Schizosaccharomyces pombe: one gene and its partner. Changing the gene in region 2 together with the main gene of any one other region gives a genetic interaction. Each region holds a gene or a part of one and is shown on either strand. Other genes may lie near its edges. The genes, in order: gcn20 and SPOM_SPAC5D6.04.

The links.
Region 1: mutations in SPOM_SPAC5D6.04 (region 2) and gcn20 together harm fitness more than expected from each alone (negative genetic interaction), as found in Schizosaccharomyces pombe (one large-scale study listed by BioGRID).

Annotation. Positions count from the first base shown.
Region 1 is NC_003423.3:2,047,777-2,065,084, reverse strand, and holds gcn20 (AAA family ATPase Gcn20), read left to right. Parts: upstream 1-8,642; 5' UTR 8,643-8,660; coding exon 8,661-10,871; 3' UTR 10,872-10,944; downstream 10,945-17,308. Other genes in the region: telomerase reverse transcriptase 1 protein Trt1, read left to right, coding at 1-302, 342-412, 452-721, 762-878, 930-1,099, 1,141-1,325, 1,372-1,520, 1,562-1,775 and 4 more; PWWP domain protein Pdp1, read left to right, coding at 2,903-3,982; rps902 (40S ribosomal protein uS4), read right to left, coding at 4,715-5,293; ort1 (carboxylic acid transporter), read left to right, coding at 5,929-6,822; atp14 (F1-ATPase subunit H), read left to right, coding at 7,483-7,497, 7,545-7,590, 7,639-7,674, 7,727-7,917, 7,964-7,987; sap14 (Pre-mRNA branch site p14-like protein), read left to right, coding at 14,390-14,633, 14,727-14,827.
Region 2 is NC_003424.3:1,504,588-1,509,302, forward strand, and holds SPOM_SPAC5D6.04 (auxin family transmembrane transporter), read right to left. Parts: upstream 2,989-4,715; 5' UTR 2,585-2,988; coding exon 2,441-2,584; exon of another isoform or gene 2,312-2,440; coding exon 2,181-2,311; exon of another isoform or gene 2,145-2,180; coding exon 2,054-2,144; exon of another isoform or gene 1,997-2,053; coding exon 1,004-1,996; 3' UTR 501-1,003; downstream 1-500. Other genes in the region: mediator complex subunit Med18, read right to left, coding at 25-151.

The DNA of each region.
Region 1 (17,308 bases), on a different chromosome or scaffold from region 2:
CGCATTTCAAGTGAAGCAATTGCACAAAGTGATTCCACTGGTATCACAGAGTACAGTTGTGCCCAAACGTCTCCTAAAGGTATACCCTTTAATTGAACAAACAGCAAAGCGACTCCATCGTATTTCTCTATCAAAAGTTTACAACCATTATTGCCCATATATTGACACCCACGATGATGAAAAAATCCTTAGTTATTCCTTAAAGCCGAACCAGGTGTTTGCGTTTCTTCGATCCATTCTTGTTCGAGTGTTTCCTAAATTAATCTGGGGTAACCAAAGGATATTTGAGATAATATTAAAAGGTATTGTATAAAATTTATTACCACTAACGATTTTACCAGACCTCGAAACTTTCTTGAAATTATCGAGATACGAGTCTTTTAGTTTACATTATTTAATGAGTAACATAAAGGTAATATGCCAAATTTTTTTACCATTAATTAACAATCAGATTTCAGAAATTGAATGGCTAGTCCTTGGAAAAAGGTCAAATGCGAAAATGTGCTTAAGTGATTTTGAGAAACGCAAGCAAATATTTGCGGAATTCATCTACTGGCTATACAATTCGTTTATAATACCTATTTTACAATCTTTTTTTTATATCACTGAATCAAGTGATTTACGAAATCGAACTGTTTATTTTAGAAAAGATATTTGGAAACTCTTGTGCCGACCCTTTATTACATCAATGAAAATGGAAGCGTTTGAAAAAATAAACGAGGTATTTTAAAGTATTTTTTGCAAAAAGCTAATATTTTCAGAACAATGTTAGGATGGATACTCAGAAAACTACTTTGCCTCCAGCAGTTATTCGTCTATTACCTAAGAAGAATACCTTTCGTCTCATTACGAATTTAAGAAAAAGATTCTTAATAAAGGTATTAATTTTTGGTCATCAATGTACTTTACTTCTAATCTATTATTAGCAGATGGGTTCAAACAAAAAAATGTTAGTCAGTACGAACCAAACTTTACGACCTGTGGCATCGATACTGAAACATTTAATCAATGAAGAAAGTAGTGGTATTCCATTTAACTTGGAGGTTTACATGAAGCTTCTTACTTTTAAGAAGGATCTTCTTAAGCACCGAATGTTTGGGTAATTATATAATGCGCGATTCCTCATTATTAATTTTGCAGGCGTAAGAAGTATTTTGTACGGATAGATATAAAATCCTGTTATGATCGAATAAAGCAAGATTTGATGTTTCGGATTGTTAAAAAGAAACTCAAGGATCCCGAATTTGTAATTCGAAAGTATGCAACCATACATGCAACAAGTGACCGAGCTACAAAAAACTTTGTTAGTGAGGCGTTTTCCTATTGTAAGTTTATTTTTTCATTGGAATTTTTTAACAAATTCTTTTTTAGTTGATATGGTGCCTTTTGAAAAAGTCGTGCAGTTACTTTCTATGAAAACATCAGATACTTTGTTTGTTGATTTTGTGGATTATTGGACCAAAAGTTCTTCTGAAATTTTTAAAATGCTCAAGGAACATCTCTCTGGACACATTGTTAAGGTATACCAATTGTTGAATTGTAATAACACTAATGAAACTAGATAGGAAATTCTCAATACCTTCAAAAAGTTGGTATCCCTCAGGGCTCAATTCTGTCATCTTTTTTGTGTCATTTCTATATGGAAGATTTGATTGATGAATACCTATCGTTTACGAAAAAGAAAGGATCAGTGTTGTTACGAGTAGTCGACGATTTCCTCTTTATAACAGTTAATAAAAAGGATGCAAAAAAATTTTTGAATTTATCTTTAAGAGGTGAGTTGCTGTCATTCCTAAGTTCTAACCGTTGAAGGATTTGAGAAACACAATTTTTCTACGAGCCTGGAGAAAACAGTAATAAACTTTGAAAATAGTAATGGGATAATAAACAATACTTTTTTTAATGAAAGCAAGAAAAGAATGCCATTCTTCGGTTTCTCTGTGAACATGAGGTCTCTTGATACATTGTTAGCATGTCCTAAAATTGATGAAGCCTTATTTAACTCTACATCTGTAGAGCTGACGAAACATATGGGGAAATCTTTTTTTTACAAAATTCTAAGGTATACTGTGTAACTGAATAATAGCTGACAAATAATCAGATCGAGCCTTGCATCCTTTGCACAAGTATTTATTGACATTACCCACAATTCAAAATTCAATTCTTGCTGCAATATATATAGGCTAGGATACTCTATGTGTATGAGAGCACAAGCATACTTAAAAAGGATGAAGGATATATTTATTCCCCAAAGAATGTTCATAACGGGTGAGTACTTATTTTAACTAGAAAAGTCATTAATTAACCTTAGATCTTTTGAATGTTATTGGAAGAAAAATTTGGAAAAAGTTGGCCGAAATATTAGGATATACGAGTAGGCGTTTCTTGTCCTCTGCAGAAGTCAAATGGTACGTGTCGGTCTCGAGACTTCAGCAATATTGACACATCAGGCTTTTTTGTCTTGGAATGAGAGATGGTTTGAAACCCTCTTTCAAATATCATCCATGCTTCGAACAGCTAATATACCAATTTCAGTCATTGACTGATCTTATCAAGCCGCTAAGACCAGTTTTGCGACAGGTGTTATTTTTACATAGAAGAATAGCTGATTAATGTCATTTTCAATTTATTATATACATCCTTTATTACTGGTGTCTTAAACAATATTATTACTAAGTATAGCTGACCCCCAAAGCAAGCATACTATAGGATTTCTAGTAAAGTAAAATTAATCTCGTTATTAGTTTTGATTGACTTGTCTTTATCCTTATACTTTTAAGAAAGATTGACAGTGGTTGCTGACTACTGCCCACATGCCCATTAAACGGGAGTGGTTAAACATTAAAAGTAATACATGAGGCTAATCTCCTTTCATTTAGAATAAGGAAAGTGGTTTTCTATAATGAATAATGCCCGCACTAATGCAAAAAGACGAAGATTATCTTCTAAACAAGGGGGATTAAGCATATCCGAAGGAAAAGAGAGTAATATACCCAGTGTTGTTGAAGAAAGCAAGGATAATTTGGAACAAGCTTCTGCAGATGACAGGCTAAATTTTGGTGACCGAATTTTGGTAAAAGCCCCAGGTTATCCATGGTGGCCGGCCTTGCTACTGAGACGAAAAGAAACTAAGGATAGTTTGAATACTAATAGCTCATTTAATGTCTTATATAAGGTTTTGTTTTTTCCTGACTTCAATTTTGCATGGGTGAAAAGAAATAGTGTTAAGCCATTATTGGATTCCGAAATAGCCAAATTTCTTGGTTCCTCAAAGCGGAAGTCTAAAGAACTTATTGAAGCTTATGAGGCTTCAAAAACTCCTCCTGATTTAAAGGAGGAATCTTCCACCGATGAGGAAATGGATAGCTTATCAGCTGCTGAGGAGAAGCCTAATTTTTTGCAAAAAAGAAAATATCATTGGGAGACATCTCTTGATGAATCAGATGCGGAGAGTATCTCCAGCGGATCCTTGATGTCAATAACTTCTATTTCTGAAATGTATGGTCCTACTGTCGCTTCGACTTCTCGTAGCTCTACGCAGTTAAGTGACCAAAGGTACCCACTTTCAAGTAATTTTGATCATAGGGGAGAAGCAAAAGGAAAAGGAAAGCAACCTTTAAAAAACCCGCAAGAGAGGGGCCGTATATCTCCTTCCTCACCTTTGAATGACCAGACGAAAGCACTAATGCAGCGACTACTTTTTTTTCGCCATAAGCTACAAAAAGCATTTCTTTCGCCGGATCATTTGATAGTTGAAGAAGATTTTTATAACGCCAGTAAATATCTAAACGCAATAAGTGATATCCCGTTCCTGAACTACGAATTGATTACTTCTACTAAATTGGCAAAGGTCCTGAAGAGAATTGCTTTTTTGGAGCATTTAGAGAATGACGAACTTTATGATATTAGGCAGAAATGTAAAAATTTGCTTTACAGTTGGGCTATGTTTCTTCCAAACGAACCATCGATAAAAGGCATGTAGTGTTTCTCAACGTCAATAGAAGCTGATTTCCTATTACACACGACACCCTTTTACTTATGCTTTGGAGTACCGGTATTGCATACCAGATCGGTGGGAAGCAAGTTGTTATCATGAATACTCTAAGTAAGATGCGAAGCGCTAGTTTGCCGGTTGTTTAAATTTAATGTTATCATCTAGATACAATTTTTACAGTGTATTTTAGCAGTTAAGTTTACGTTAAATTAGTATTTGTGGCTATTCACACAAGAAGGTAAAATTCACATTTCTTTGGCAATATACATTGTTCAGTTGATGGTTCCTTTTTTTTTTGAAAGCGGCCTACAAGATATATTTCTAATTCACGTGCCTTTAGAAAATTGCCTCTATTTGTCTATATATTAATTAACGAAAAATATCAAAAACTTTAAGCAGCAAAAATTAAGTACTACAATTTCATCCAATACGACTATACCTTTAGTATCTTCGTATTCTTTTTTTTTTGTCTCCTAAGTCAGTTTATCTGTCTTCACAATTTTTACGAAGCATTGGATTCTTCAAAAATCTATAAAACGCTACAAGGCTTTAGTGCGCTAATTTAATACGAAGATGTAGACTTCAAAAAAAATGTACGACAAAGAACAGTTACCATATGCATTGAGATTATAAGCTACATATACTAGTGAAATACACAAGAAAGGAATTTCATTTTCTACTCAGAGATTAGGATTCATTTTTACTAGTCAAAGAAAAGAATTACTCCTCTTCGGCTTCTTCACCTTCACCACCCTCTTGTTGAGAGCGGAGACGCTTTCTCTTGCAGCGACCAGGGCGACCACCACCATATGGAGAGGAAAGAGCAAAGTCGATATGCTTTTGGGCATCCAAACGGACAACGAAGGAAGGAACATTGACAATTTGCTTACCAACACGGATGTGACGTTGGAAGATCAACACACGTGCATGATGGATGGACTTAGCCAAACCAAGCTTAAAGACTTGAGTTTGCAAACGACGCTCCAAAAAGTCCTCGATACGGAGAGCCAACACATAATCAAGCTTCATACGGGACTCATCCAAAATGCCCAAACGAACAAGACGACGAATGATGGCATTTCCCTCGAAAAGACGCTTAGGATCCTTCTCGTCAAGGGTCAAAAGCTCACGAGCAGCACGACGGATTTTAGAAAGGGTAAGTGCTACACGCCAAATTTCATGCTTATTTCTCAAACCATATTCACCAGCAAGCTTGAGCTCGGCATCTAGACGGGCCGACTCGAAGGGACGACGAGGAACCTTGTAAGTCTTGGATTGCTTACGAGGAGCAGAAGGCATTGTTTGTTTGGTGCTTTGCGCAACCTACCTTTGCTATGTATTTTCAAGAAGGCACAACAGTGACGGCTTTTTGAGATACTGTAGTATTAGGTTAGGGTTTTGTCCCATCACCATCCCGTACCGATATCCTTACTACACACTATTCCTACTAACCCTCTAGCTTATATCCTTGTGAAGGAAAAGCAGAAGTTAGATTTGTAAATAGAAGGTGTTGTTTATTTTTTCTAAAATAGAAGATCACATATGTAAGGGATACACTGTATCTTGTGAGTGCGTATTAAACTCTATTTGAAGATATTAATTGCACAATCCTGTGAGTGTTGTGCTGTTACTGTCTCTTTTTTGGTTTTTCTCTGAAATTGATCATAATTATTGACGATTTTACTTTTTTTCGAGTTTCAAAATATAAAAAACAAGTTTTTTTTTAGTAGTTCATCTTACATGGGTGGTGAACTTCTGAATACTTTAGACTATACATACAATTTAGACGTACATATACGTACTTACATAAAGAAAGAGGATTTCGATTACTTCATTTGTTTAGATAAGTCGAAAAATCTATTTTTGCTAGAATATTGATCTTTATTTTCTTCTCTCATTTCTCTCTATTTTATTTCTGAAGGATTGATCAAAAAATGGGTTTACCAGTTCATAACCAGCCCCATAAAGCACACTCGGGCTCTCCCGCATCTACCTTTTCCGCTGCTCTGGTTTCTTCTGCCATTAGCAATGTTATTGGGTATCCTCTTGACTCGATTAAAGTTCGACAGCAAACTTACAATTTCCCAACCATTCGCTCTTGTTTCCAAAACGCTGTTAAAAACGAGGGATTAAAAGGTTTGTATCGTGGTCTTACTCTACCATTGATATCAGCCACTCTATCGAGGTCAGTATCATTTACGGTGTATGATTCCTTAAAACTTACATTTGCTCATGTGGATCCTACACTTCGGTATTTCATTTCCGGGCTTGGGACTGGTACTTTTATATCACTTTTTGCTTGTCCATTCGAGTATTCAAAGTTATATTCACAAATTGACATGCTTCTTCGCAAAACAAATATGGGCCGTCGGCAAGAGACAAATTCCAAGCTAAGTGTCAGACCTCCCTTGTCATCTTTCCAGAGCGCTTCTGACATTGTTCGGAGGTATGGATTTACTGCATTATGGAATGGGTATCGTTATCATCTAACCAGAGACGCTCTAGGATCGGCTTGTTATTTTACAATATACGAAACCTTTAAGAAAAATCTGATAGCGAATGATGTGAAGCCGCATTTTGCTTATGCCTTCTCTGGTGCTTTTTGCGGCGCTTTGTCTTGGATTTTGGTATTCCCGGTGGATACAGCCAAATCCATTGTACAAAGAAATACACTCTTATCAATTAAAACCCCTTTGTCTTCCATTCCTTGGTTATCGTTTACTATATATCGAGGTATAGGTATTTCATTGATGCGAAGCGCTCTTATAAATTCTTGCAATTTTACGCTTTTTGAATTATTTCGGGAAACTAAAGTATTAAGCAAATAGTTTTATTCTAGTTTTACGAAGTCTTTGTTGTCCATTGAGTCGATAACCCGTCGGAATGCATTTCTATACATATTTTAACTTGCATTCGACTTGCGGTTGAAGTTTAATCACATTTTAGAACTGGTTTTGTCGTATATATTTAAAGTCCCATGGAATACTTTTACAATTTTTTTGATGCTATTTATTTTTTATTAAAAGCATTTTTACCTTCAAAAACTCCCCTCTCATCACTTTTCATATCATGTGCTGCTGTTAGTTTGACAGTAATTCCACTGAACTTGTTATACATTTCACGAGTTAACCGTTTCAATCTGAAAGTATATTTTCTTTTCCTCTTTTCCCTGTTTTTTTTTGTTTTGTTTTGCTTTTTACGTCCTGTTTTGGTTAATCCAACTCTTTCAATATCTGTATGTACCTACGCTTTTTTTTCTTGTATAGTTGAATTTTGTTTTGTAGATTTTTGGTAGAGGTGTAAATTGGATGAAATTTTTGAGACTAATAGTCCTTCTATTTCAGCGATTGTTTATTTGGGCATTTAAAACTTTAGCTATTAGATTTAGTATGTTTAATGTACTTTCGGACAATGCTGGCTTTCTTACTCAATACATGCTACCTAAGTGAGTTACCACTACCATCCACATATATTGTGAAGGAAGAACAATGTCTCGAATTTTGGTACGTTATACATTGCTTTTTTTAAGAATTTAGGAGCTAATATATAGAAATCACTAAGTCGTAGTTATTCGACCACCTCCCCTCGTCTTTACGGTATGAAATGACATTTTGATTTTGATGAGATTACTAATGGCAATTTAGTCGATGTAGTACAGGGTTTATATATTTCTTCTTTAAGTATGTTATTATATTCTCTTAATTTACCAATTTCTTACACGTCGTGTCTTAGAATCATATAAGCCTAAAGCTGTCCCTTCCGAAACGGCAGCTGAAGTAAAGGAATGGTCCATGCCTAGCGCTCCTACTGCTCCAAAATACGATGTTGACTTTACTTCTGCTTTAAACTCTTACAAGTATGAGGGAGAAACCATTCCCACTAAGGCTGCTGGAGAAAGCAACAAATTTGACTTTCTTGAATCAGTATGTATCTCTTCCTTTACATTGCATCAGCTAACTTTTCCTTCAGTATGAGAATGAAAAAGAACATTAAATTTATTCACTGCTTTTCCTATGCTCAATTGGAAGATGTTTGGTAATTAACTTTGATTAAATTTTGCCTTTTATTTTCCGATTATGAATTTACATTTTCATCTACGTCGTTGAGATTTGATTTTATATCTATTTCATGCCTTTGTCTGATCCTTCTTTTGATTGACCACGAACGTGGATGTATCTCTATAACTCCCGTCTCACTATGATTTATATTCTAGGTTAACGTATCCTTTTTCTGCTTTCTAAATGTCTTTGAACATAGCTGAATTCAATGCTTAGTCGTCTCTTCGATTACGGCACGAAACAGTTGTTGCCTTGATTGATAGAAAACCACTTTCATTGAGTTGAGATGTTTTTCTCTTTGCAAAGTATTTCTATTGAGTTCACATTTGGATTTTTTTTTTCAATTTATATCAACTCAATACAATTGCTTTTATTCAACAATAAGGATTAGCTTGATAAAATTTGATGTCTACTGTGGGTCATTAAAAATATCAGTAAAGTTCACAGTAGTTTTCTTGGAATTGTAATTTTTTTTCTTAAAAAAATATATAATTCACTATTATAAGGTATTTAGTATATTTTCATGCCTAGTCTCATCGTTTTGCCGATTGAGGCTTCATATATAGCAGTAGTATAACTTGCTTAGTACTATCCACCTCACATCCAACATGGAGCAAGTCATTCAGAATAATTGCTCTGAAGTAGACCCTCATGTCCTCAGCTACTGCACTGGATATGCTAATGATGCTATTAAAGATGTAGATGAGGCTTCAGACCATACGATCTCTCTCATTCGTAATTTATTGCTAGATGCTGGCGCTCGTGAGGAAGCGGTACAGCTCATACAAAACGAACTAGAGAAACAATTTAAAGAAAGAGAGGAACATCTAGATACATTACAAACGAATGGACTTGTTCGTTTGAAGGAGACTATTCGAATGGATTCCCAATCCGAAATTTCGTCAACTATGGGTTTGGTTGGCGAAAAGATGGAATTAGATGCTGTAAAGGGCCGTAAGGTTGAATCTAGGGTAGATAGAAGAAAATTAGAGAAGGCTGAACGGAAGATTCGTGCCAAATGGGAGAAACGTACTATCAAAGCAGAATACGAATCTTCAAAGTTGGTTCAACCCGAACAAAAGTCTTATGAAGAGTTTTACATGGCTGTAAATCCTCTAGATTTATCCGGAAGTAACCAAGGAAAATCGAAAGATATTAAAATTGATGGAATTGATCTTGCTTTTGCTGGTCATCGTATATTGACTGGTGCTTCGTTGACACTTGCACAGGGTAGACGATACGGTTTAACTGGTCGCAACGGTATCGGTAAATCTACTCTTCTACGTGCTCTTTCTCGCCGTGAAATTGCGATTCCTACCCATATTACCATTCTTCATGTTGAGCAAGAAATGACAGGTGATGATACACCTGCCCTACAGTCAGTTTTGGATGCCGATGTTTGGCGCAAGTATTTGATTCAGGACCAGGAAAAGATAACTAATCGTCTATCAACGATTGAAAAAGAATTGGAAGAACTTAGTAAAGACCAAACTGCTGATCAAGCTATTTCCCGTCGCCTTGAGCGTGAACGAGACGAACTTGATTTACGGTTGTTAGATATTCAAAATAAGCTTTCCGAGATGGACTCTGATAGAGCAGAATCACGCGCTGCTACTATTTTAGCTGGTCTTGGATTTACTCAAGAAATGCAAAGCCATGCTACCAAGACTTTTTCAGGTGGTTGGCGTATGCGTTTGTCATTGGCACGTGCTCTGTTTTGTCAACCAGATTTACTACTTTTGGATGAACCTTCGAACATGCTTGACGTTCCCTCAATTGCTTTCTTATCTGAATATTTACAAACTTATAAAAATATCGTTTTAGTCGTTTCACACGATCGTTCTTTCTTGAATGAAGTTGCTACTGATATTATTCATCAACACTCTGAGCGCTTGGATTACTATAAGGGTAATTTTAGTCAATTCTATGCTACTCGTGAAGAACGTTGCAAAAATCAACTTCGTGAATATGAAAAGCAAATGGAATACCGCAAACATTTGCAATCATTCATTGACAAATTTCGTTATAATGCTGCCAAATCATCCGAAGCACAAAGTCGTATTAAGAAGTTGGAAAAACTGCCGATCCTTGAAAAGCCTCAAACTGAGGAAGAAGTTGAGTTTGAATTTCCACCTGTGGAAAAAATATCTCCTCCTATCTTACAAATGTCTGATGTCAATTTTGAGTATGTTCCAGGTCACCCTATTCTCAAACATGTTGATATTGATGTTCAAATGGATTCTCGTATCGGTGTGGTTGGTCCCAACGGTGCTGGTAAATCAACAATGCTTAAGCTTCTTATCGAACAACTTCATCCAACATCTGGTATAGTTAGTCGGCACCCCCGACTTCGTATTGCATACTTTGCACAACATCATGTCGATACTTTGGACTTAAACTTGAATGCCTTAAGCTTTTTAGCTAAGACATTTCCTGGCAAAGGTGAAGAAGAATACCGTCGTCATCTTGGCGCTTTTGGTGTTAGTGGACCTCTTGCATTGCAAAAAATGATCACGCTTTCTGGTGGTCAGAAATCTCGTGTTGCGTTCGCATGCCTAGGTCTACAAAACCCTCACATTCTTATTCTAGATGAACCCACCAACCATCTGGATATGGAGTCCATGGATGCCTTGACAAGAGCTGTTAAACGCTTCCAAGGTGGTGTGATTCTTGTTTCTCACGATGTTGATTTCTTGGACAAGACATGTACCAGTATTTGGCAGTGTGACCATAATGTCGTCTCCAAGTTTGATGGAACAATTTCACAATATAAGAAATTCTGTCTATCTCAACAGCCAACCATGACTATAAAAACTTAATGGAATAGCATAGACTTAAATAATAATAATATAGCTGGCGAGGATAAATAAAATCAAATTCTTTTATCTATGAATCTGGATAAAATATGTAAACGAAGTTAACTACATTTTATACAGTAAAAGACATGAAGTGTTAAATAAGATTAAAACAGTAAATTAATTATAGCTAAGTAAGTCATAACACGGTAATGGACAAGAAACCTGGAAAGCATGCAAATCATCAACCAACACCCAAAAAATAAAGAGAACAAACCCAATCAATTAAAAAGTAAAGAGGAGGAAGGGGAGAAGAGGAGAAAATAAGGCGGACCAAGGAAATCAATAGCAGAAAAAAAAAGAATATACAGACTAGTAAACAAAAAAAGAAAGAGAAAGGAAAAAGTTAACTCATTAAATTCGTTTAGGAACTTGACTAGAAAACCTCGAAGGATTTGGAAAAAAGGACATGGGAAAAGACGTAGGGCGAGAGATTGATGGAGAGGAGGAAGATGAAGGTTGAGTTTTGACGGCGTTGAACGATTTAAAATTCTGAGAGGTGAAAGACTTTGGAGGAAGAGGAATGGACGGATAGGTATTAGAGGTTAAAGGACGCTTTGTAGAAGTATTAGTAGCGTTAGAAGAAGAACGTCCAAGGGGATGCAATTGGGGAAAGCTCCGAGAGGATGAAGTAGCTGAAACAATATGACGGGTAGCAGAGCCTTTTTGAGAAAATCACTTTTAGCTCTCGCCATTAGAGAACTTTTTGGACAATAATTACTCATGGGACGCGGACGCTTAGGAGGCCGAGCAGCTCTAGGCTCACGCTCTAAAGGAACAATTCGCTTGTTTTGTTTACTTTGCTCTAGCTTGGTGTAAGCACTTCGAAGCTTAGCAGAAGCAACGTTATAATGAGCATTTCTTTTTTTCTTAAGTTTTCCGTAGAGCCCTCTCCAATCATCAATATTGTTCAATATAGTTCGTTTTTGAAGTTCTAATCCAAAATCACGCAAAACGTGATCTTTCCACAATGGTTGAGTGTCAACTTTCAAATGAGGCGACTTTTCTTCCAAGTCTATTAAATGTTCTGGTCTAGCTTTTTCCAGGATAGGTTTTACGAGTTCGAATGGGCAATCGCCAATATCATCGATGTCGTGCACATGCTTCTGCGCGACTTGGATGCACAAATCTTTTAAAGAATACATCGCTCATATGATAGTAATTTTTAAAAATTTCAAAGAAAACGATCGAATTAGAGCTCTATAGTCTTCAATTGGAAGAGTGCTTTTACCTTATTTGAATGTAAACAAAACCAATTCAACGGGGGAAAATGTGTTTCAAAGAAGGAAAGGTCCAGAATCTATCGATTAGCTAAATTCCTTTCCTTGTTAGTATATGCGTATAAAACGCGGAGAATCTAAGTGCGAGTAAAAAAAAATTCCAGATAATTGTTTGTTTCCGACAAGTTGAAAAAGACGGCGAAGCAAACCTATTTGTTCACTTATACAAATATATTAAAAAATAATTAAAATCTTTAATTTGTTAACTCGGTAAAATCGTTAAATTATCGCTAAATAAATTTATCGACCTTTATCAAATTTTCTTCATTCAATTTACGAGTTCTCAACCACCGTTTCGTTATAAATATTTGCGTATTCAACGTTAAAAACCGTAATTATCCTTCTTGCCTTTCCGGCCCAGTGGAAGTTCCAATGACGCCGCGGAAGGGCTGCACACCTCAGTAGCGAATATGGGGAAAGAGCAAATTCATGCTTGCCACGATGACTACCTGGATGCTTGATGTAGGTGACGTGTTACTTAAGATGAAAATGTAAATACAAGAGAAGAAATGGGTCAAGAAGGCGATTAATGGATGAAAAGAGAAATTATTCATAGAAAAATTTTTCCTTAAATATGCGCTTTTATTAATCTTTCGTTTAGGTTTTTTTCTCTCGTAAATTAATTCAGATATAGGTATTTAATCAACATTGCCAATTTCAACAAGTTTTAGGGGTTACGTGCAATAGTTTTATTGTTCTATTGTTTTTTAATTCTTCTCTCAATCCTAACTCTTGAAATTTTGTCGTACAAGACATTTTTCGCATTTCGTCAAGTTAAATTTTATGTTAAACTAGAGTTATTTGCGAATTAGGCTAATGAGCAGAAACCACTTGAATATACAAAATTTTATTTATTTATTTATTTATTTATTTTTTTTAAAAAAAGAGTAAATGGTAATTAATCTACTAGAAGCGTAAAAAGAATTGTTCAATACTTCAAAAAGAAAAATATGTATATCATATATCAAACCAGATTAGCAATCAATGCCAATAGCTTTATTCATTGAAAAAATAAAAAAAATAAAGAACGGTTATAGATGAGTCAATTAATTTCGTACTTTAACGTTAGTTGGTTTATTTCGTTTTTGTACAACATTATTTACTTTTTTAAATACTTAGTTCCTGCTTATCATAATGAATATAGCTAGCTTCATTAGTTAAAATTATTAGTATAGTTTTCGAAATTGTAAACGCTACTATAGTTTCTTTTTTCTGTAATTTCCTAAATTGCTTCAAAACAGCATTTGCAATGCAGCACATTCTCAATTAAGAGCAGTTGTAAGCAAAGAGCAATGAGAAATCTTTCAAATTAGATAAAATGAAGTACAGTAAGATCCACATATTCAACAAAGCTATCCTTTCCCTTTAGTGTCTCTGTTGCTATCACTTATATACGAAAGCATGGCATTGGAAGCGTAAAATGAATCATTAATTTTGCAGATGTAGTTTTCTGGGATCAGGAAATAAAAAATTTAAGAAATTTCAAAAGAACTTGAGAAGAAATTGATGAACTAGTTGGTCTGTAGGCAAAAGATCAATGATACCAAATTGTTTCCTTGATAAAAGTCCCATTGCCAAACAAGAGTATAAGTTAAAAGAAAGTAAAGAAATAAGGAAAAATATAAATTGATGATACAACTATACTATCAAACTATTCTTTGCAATTGTCAGTTTTAAAGTTGAAACCTATTTCCTGTAGGATAGACAAACGAGGAAGCAAAAAATACCAATAAAAATGTTTATGATTTTCAACTAGTTATGTATAATTTGAAAATCACTTTAAATTGACTCTCTATTGAAATCACCGCCATGTCAGTTTCAACTCTGATCAAAGATCTCATGAACTAAGGATTGCATTTGACATTTGGAGTTACCAGGTAAAAGAAGAGGAAAATTTTGGTAAAAGGTTGAACCGTTTTGTCTACGATCTGTTGGTCCATTCGATTTCCCAGCATATACCTCTTCTTGTCCAAACCACGAAACGTAACCTTTAATATTCATGTCTCAATCTTTTCTACTATAATTAAACTCACGTATAGGATTGACTATACAACATCAATCTCCAAGCTGTGATAACGAGTATTTTCCATCTGATCCCAACCAACCTTTTAGGAATATTTATCCTTTCCAAAGCAAACCAAATCATTTCTTTTCGAAATTTGATTTTTTTAACAAAAAGTGTTAAGATCGTAAAAATAACAAATGCCTCCATCTACAGTTAATCAAGAAGTCAATTCTATCCTATTCATCAAGAACTTGTCTTTTAAAATTACAGCAGAAGAGATGTACGATCTTTTTGGTAGGTATGGTCCTGTACGACAAATAAGGCTGGGGAATACGGTTCAAACAAGAGGTACTGCATTTGTGGTTTATGAAAACGTTCAAGACGCTCGTCGAGCTTGCGAAAAGCTTTCTGGCTACAACTTCATGGATAGATACTTGGTTGGTACGTTATCTTAGGGAATGTATTAGCTACTATTAATTTTAATTTCTCCTTTCTAACGGCTTTTTAATATCTTCTTGTTAACTTTTTTTTTAGTGCATTATTATAACCCTGAAAGAGCTAAGGTTGATGGTCAAGATTTGGCAGCAAGGTATGCCGCCTTGGAACAAGTTAAGCAAAAATACGGTGTTCAGTGAACGTTTACTATTTATTTACCAAAAAAAAACAAACAAATTAGGAGTCTGATATTGACTCCATTAACGTGTAATAGATTTCCTCTTTCTATAAATTCTGTTGAAGAGAACATACAGCAGAAAAATGAATCGGCTCATATTAAACAATCGTTTACTAGTGTTTCGAACCTAGGTATAAAAAAGGTACTATAAGGACTTGAATTTTATTATATTTCGCTTAAAGCTTTTTAGTAATAATAATGTAATGCATTGATCTATAATATAACAACGTCTACATGTAGTATTAAGATTTGAATCCCTAATAAAACGTATCCAAATTTGCCCAACCGTATTTCCCAATTAATAATTTTATCTGGCACAAACTTCAAATCATAATGAGCTAGTTTCCAAAGTCCAACCCTTCCAGCTTCATTACCAACACATAACTCACCACCCTTACCAAAAGCTAGGCATGTAACTCTGCCTAAAGGCGTAGCGCTGGTGGGCCAATTACGGAACACACTAAAGCTGGGAACATGAACGAGTCGTAGAGTATCCTTCTTTCCTCGAGATGCGATAGCTAAAACTTGACTATCTTGAGAAAAGCTCATACTATTTATGCTGAAAGTAATATTATCCAATGTAGTGACAGGTTTTGGTGCAGCGTCCGCATTGGATGTCTGGAGGTCATATATATTAACAATACCACTCTTGCTACCAATTGCCAAATACTTATTAGATGGGTCCAAACAAAAATGAGTGGTAGATACACCATCTTGAACTTGCCAACGACGAACGACTGAACGTTGCTCAACATTAAAATGCCATACCTCCGCACCATAACTAAGCACCAACATTTCCGACCCGTCAGAAGTGAACAAAACGTCGGAAAGTACACCTTCAATTTTAAAGCTTGTAGCAAACTGACCAGTAAGAGCATGCAGTAAATTTATATGGCCAGATCTTCCTTCCAAAGCAATGTACTTCCCAGTTGGATCTACGTGAAACCTTTCCATACTTGGCTGAAAGTTCTCTTGTCCATACATACGACTAACTTTTTGAACTTGGGCAGACTCCAAATCCCAAATGTACATGTATTTTCTCCGACCAGCAGCTATTACTCGTTTACCATCCGGATGAAACAACGCAGTTTGAAGAGCTGAAGAACGTAAATGCAAAGATGTTACCAGTGGATTGACTTTGCCATCAAGCTGATAAATGCGAAGTGTGCGATCAAAGCCACAAGTAAGCAAAAGAGGAAAATAAGGATGAATAGACATACAACGAATTCCACTGTGAGAAGGTGCTTGGAAGTTGGCATCTTTAAGCCGTTTGATGTTGATAGTACCAGGAGCAAGAAGCTTTGAGGATTGATTTATGTAGGAAACTGAAGATTTGAATAGACTCTTCAAAGATTTAGGAATGACACTTTTCTCCGATAAAGCATTAAATTCATCCTCTTCTTCGGTTACGTCTTGCTTTTTAGCCCATTCAGGCACTGGATAAACTCTTTCAAACTGGGTTCGTAACCTTCTGGCGTATTGAAGACCATTAACCATGTCTTCATCTTCATATTGACGCAATTTTCTTAATCTCGAGTGGTCCTGCAAAGATATCATCAACCGCTCATCGTCGCTGTCTTCCCAAATCGAAGGGATTTCATTACTAGCTTCTTCGTCCTCCTTCACCGTATTATCTCCAGCTATAATATCTAAAGGTACAGAATCTTTGGCTCCATCTGCTGAGCCAGTATCGAACATGAAAAGCTCTGCATCTTCCAGCTTTTCCAATTCATCTTCTTGAGCATCGTTATCTTCGCTCAATTCGGGAGCTTCGTTCATCATCACATCAAAAGTCTCATTCTCTTTATCTAAAAAGGAAGAGAAATTGTTAATGTTTCCGAAAACCGCATTTTCGAGCTCCAATTCCTCAGTATCTTTTTCCATTTTTTTAGAACTCGGCTTTTCCGCAGTTTTTCTACTCTTAGAGCTTATATCGAGAAAAGCATCTCGGTATACGGAGTTTTTCAAGTTATTTTCCTTACTTGAAGCCATCCGAATAAAAATGTTTAGATAATTATGTAGAGTTGGTTTTTGAAAAATTCACCCAACCTTCCATATAGCGAAATGCACTGAAATACCTCGACTGGTCAAAAAGCTCATACAATCGAAATAGCATTTCTGTAGATATATATTACTCATAAATTAATATTTTTTACAAGTTTAGTTTATTACTAGTCTAAGCTTTTTTCTAATATTAATTCCATAAACTATGAAATAAATTTTTCATAGTACATATGTTGGTAAAATCATGTGTCTATACAATGTGTCCATAGCCTTCATACATTTCATTATTCTATTGTAGTCATTAAATTTGTAATTTTTAAAATTGTTCCACAGTATGATAGCATTCCAAATTCCGCGTATAAAGGAGTGAATCAAGAGGATCTTTTGTTGAATCCAAATAAGCATCCTCATTATCGTTCTAGGTATTATGCTATTTAAA
Region 2 (4,715 bases):
ACATATGCATTTTTCACGACATACCTTTAGGACGGTAAACTACCCAAAACTCCAATATTGTTTTCGGACCATCCAACGTTTTTGATAAAGAATTTACAACTGCTTCAAAACGCCTCGAGGGGACTACTCCTAAAAGATACAGTTCTTGCATAGCATCGCACCTCACCGAAATTGATTTCTTTTATCTCTTAAGCGTCTACTAAAGCTAAGCTACTGATGGTTGTAGAAATAGTGAACAAAATATACAATGCAATGTCAGTAGTAAGGGAAAATTGCTGTTGGAAGCCTAATGAGCAGTGTTTTCAACGCGGTGTAGTTAGCTATGTAACGAACGACCTTAACGATGAAAGAATGAGAATCATTATGAATCGCCATTATGGAACATAGTATTGATCCAATATTTCTTTCACATTTTCTTCGAATTGATACTATTATTGCTTTATTTCCTTTAATAATATTGAGCGCCGTGTTACTTGATTCTTGATTAAATAATCAAACTATAATAGTAAAACAATTCGGTCAACTAATATTTATACCAACATATTTGATTTTTGGGACGTTGTGGTAAACGCCGCATAAAATAAACTTTATATTAGAAAGACGATATAACTTAAGTTGCTATCGAGGTCCAACAAAGCTGAACACTTCAATAACGAATCATTATGAACATGATATCCAAACATTATAGAAATTGAAAATGGAAAGTGATTTCTTATGCATTGTATAAGAGCAAACAGAGTTTAAAAAGAAAACAATAAAAGATTAAAAAAAACTATTTAGCGGTATTAATAATACCAGTTAAACCAATAAAAACATATTAAATGTGAGCTTTTCGAAATGGAAAAAGACCGCCAGGTTAATCAATATCGAGTCACTACGTTTGACCAATTGACTATGTTAAATTAATGTGATAAGTAAACTTTCCGTGTGCTCTCAATTGTTAAAGTATACGCAGAAAACGATATTGTAAAACAAAAATCATCAGACGTTAACGATTTTAACTTTATTTTGTCCATTTCACAACTAAAAGACTAGCAAAGGCTAGCAACAACGAATTAGGAGGAGTAAAGACGGCATAAGACCACCATAAAACTTTGGCACACTCGCGTTCAAATACACCATTCAGTTGGCAGATTTGTGTTAATTGAATGGCGGTTGGGCTTCCCACAAGCAAGAAAATAACAACAACAAAAACAGGATCATCAACAGTACTTATTTCACTGAAGTATGAGAGTAAACTGAAAGCGGGTAATAATGCCAGAGGAACAACTACCATACGGCCAAGAAGACACACAATAATTACTCGAGTATCGTTATTTTTACGGACTTCTTGAGTAGGTTCAGTTTTGGAAATATCAGTAGCAAGACTTGCTCCCAAAACTACCAAAATCATAGGAACAGCAACTTGACCAGCCATTCGAATACCACTGGTGATGCTACCTTCAACGAACGAACCTTCTTCGAAGAAAAAGCGTTGCAGAGGAGGAACAACAGCAATAAATAAGGCGATAAATAAGGAGTATAAAGGAGGGCTGAAGAAATCTAACAGTAAAACAATAAACTTCGAGATCTTCGAAGAGGCTGCTCCAAACCCACCAACTTCTTCGTTAGAGGTTTCAACTTGAACGTTGTCATTTTTGGAAATCGCAGAAGAATCAGTTTGAACAGTTGAGCCCTCATTTGCCTGAACAGAATTTTGAACCCCATCTACATTTGCACTAGAAGCCAACAAATTCTGAATTTCTTCTTCATTAACATCGCTATGTGACCAAGAACGGTTACCGATAGGTAGAGGGTCCTCCGGTTGATTCGGAGAAAGGAGAATACGATAACCATAGGACCAACGAAGAGCTTGACCTAACTGAGAGAAAATAAGCAAATACATAATACCGCGTGAAGCAACCTTATCAGGTGTATCATCGGGAATTTTGTCCCATAGCAAATCCTTTACAGTAGTAGCTAAAGAAGATACCAAGGCCAAAGGTAAGGAATTTGACTAAAGAGTTAGTAAACAAAAACAAACGAACAATATTCTTGCAGGTAAGGTACGTACGTTTTGAAACGTTATGCAGGCAGTGGCGAAATTCCTTTGGCGAGGTGTCAGTCGGAAGAGTTTTGCAAGTAAAAATGATATCAGAATAGAACTGAAAGTTAGCAAAGTGAATGACTTAAATACTTACGCTGCGGAGATGATAACATAAAACACGGGTAAAAGAGAAAGATCAATCAGCATCTTCAAATTCAAACCGTTGCCAACTTTTTCAAATACTAGACAAGGAGTAAAGAAATAAACGTTCAGGCTGGATATTACCTGTGTAAAGTTAGTAAAATACTAGAGAACGCAAAGATAAATGAAGAGAAGAAATTTAATAGTTGAAAATTTATTTCTTTATTTCACTGCTCCATTTTTCTTTAAAACGGGGGGTAAAATGAATCATACCTTCTGAGCATCTCTAGGAAGAAAGCCTTTTTTAGCTAATACATAACCACCCAAAGCGATCACAATAACTTCCAAGTCACTTTCGATAATGGGCCTTAGAAGGCTCCAAACATTAATTTGGCCAAGAGAAGAAAAGAATCCCATAATTTTTCACTAAATGACGGATAAAAAGATTGAATCCTTAAGAAAACTTTTTCACTAGTTAAACCGAATTCCACACAACAACAGGAATCAAATCAAGGAAAAGCAAAAAAAAAAAGAAAAAACCAATAAGGTCGATCAACAGTGAAACCGGTTAAAGTATAACAAGAAAAAAAAGTATTTCCTATAAATAATAGGATAAGATTATTATGCGGTCTATCAACAAAAGCTTCTCAAAAAACAGGAATAAGGAGTAATCACTCTAAAAGTAAATTGATCAAAATGTTCCCAACAAAAGTCAATTCAAATGCCAGAAATTTTCAATCGTCAAAGTCTTTTCTCTGCAAACAGCAGAATGAAAAGGGTAGGTTAAGCTGAAAGGCCTGTTTGTTTTCAAGGTATAGGTTAGAACGACAAAAATTCAAAGCCTCAAAGTCAGTAAACCGCGTGGAGAAACATTGTTACTTAGAATGGCAAACTGACGCATGAAACTGATAGGTAAAAAAAAGATACACAGAAACAATTATTGAGGCTTTATGAAATACTTTCTTTACAAATTAGGGAAAAATAAGATGCTTGTAAGGAGAAATGAAAGAAGAATTCGGCCAATCCATAAATGATCTCTATAACGTAATCAGACTTAGATTTCGTTGTTTTAGGATTTTTAATATTTACGGCAGATCAATTAAAAAAATTACATTAATTTCGAACACCTTCAAGTTTCTCAAAATAAAAAATGAATGTTGATTGATTTTAGTATGGTCGAAAAAAAAAGGGATATACCTACCTGACACTTATTATAGAATCCGTTGAGTCAACTTGTATTCCATTATGAAATTTCTTTTTTATTCGTAACATAATGGTGTTTGTTAAAAATAATATAAAATATTTTAACGTAACGCTATAATTATAAGTTGTGGATAGCAAGGAATTGATACCAATGATAGTATTGTCGAGGATTCACTGTCAAACCATTTTATTTTCTGTTGTTGTAGAAAAATTTAATTGTCCTTAAATTTTCGATCAAACTCGAAAAACTTTTGTTGAAGCTGTACTAAACATCAGATTGGTTTGTGCATGATTGCATTCATTACCGCATAGGTTCGGTTGTGAAATAGCTAAAGCGTTAAATAGCAGAACAATCGTACACAACTTTGTGTAACTTAAATGTGAGTTTTAGCAGAAGATAGCTAGTTTTTATACATTTTCTGCTTTATTGGTTTTGTTTTCTTTATGTCTTCCTTGCAATTTTCTGTTTGTTTTCGAAACATCTGCCGAAGCTCTAACTTTTGCACCTACTGCTCCCAACAATTTTTGCCATCTTTACCAGGTCACATGTTCCTTGCGATGTGGACAGGTTCAATGAAGGTTGGAAGTTTGAAAGCATGTTTGAACATTATAGAAGTATAGACTGGATTCAAAGGGACGAGATTTTATATACAGTAGCAATATTTTAATATGTAACACCGTTTTTCCTGGTTATTTTTATCAAGAGCTTATTGTGTTTGCATGTAAAGATGTATACAGAAGTCCGTAGATAAATTAATACAGTGTTCTATTGTTATGCTTAATTAATTGCTTCCCAAGTATTAAAAATCCTTTGAGAGGTTCCTCTTTTTATCAGTCACGTAACAATTTACGTTAAACCTTCAGTTCTTCATTTGTAGTAAATATTTAATTACAAAAATGGTGAAATTTTTTTAACAATTCTCATGTCGTTAATCAATGAAATGCTTGACAAACAAAATCAGCCAAAAGAAGTGAAATAACTCTGTAGTTAGTAGAATCATAGCACTTAGTCTTGAGAGTTATTATCAATAAATTTTTTATCATATAAATTAAAAAAAAGAAAAGCATGAGGTTTTATTAGTGAGTACAAAAAATTTAACTAATATCAATCAGTTTCTATATTATTTCTTTCCAATTTTTATTTTATTTATTTATTTTTTTTAACTTCACTGCATCCTTACTGTATTGTTAATTACTCCTTTCTTGTTGAAAATAAACGGAAGTAACTGCAGTCATATAAAATTTTGAAGCGATATTTTGCAAGGAAATTTGACGCATCATTAATGGGGAACAATTTTTTTGTCAATTAAATCTATTTACTTTTTTTTTTTTTATTTAAAGCAAG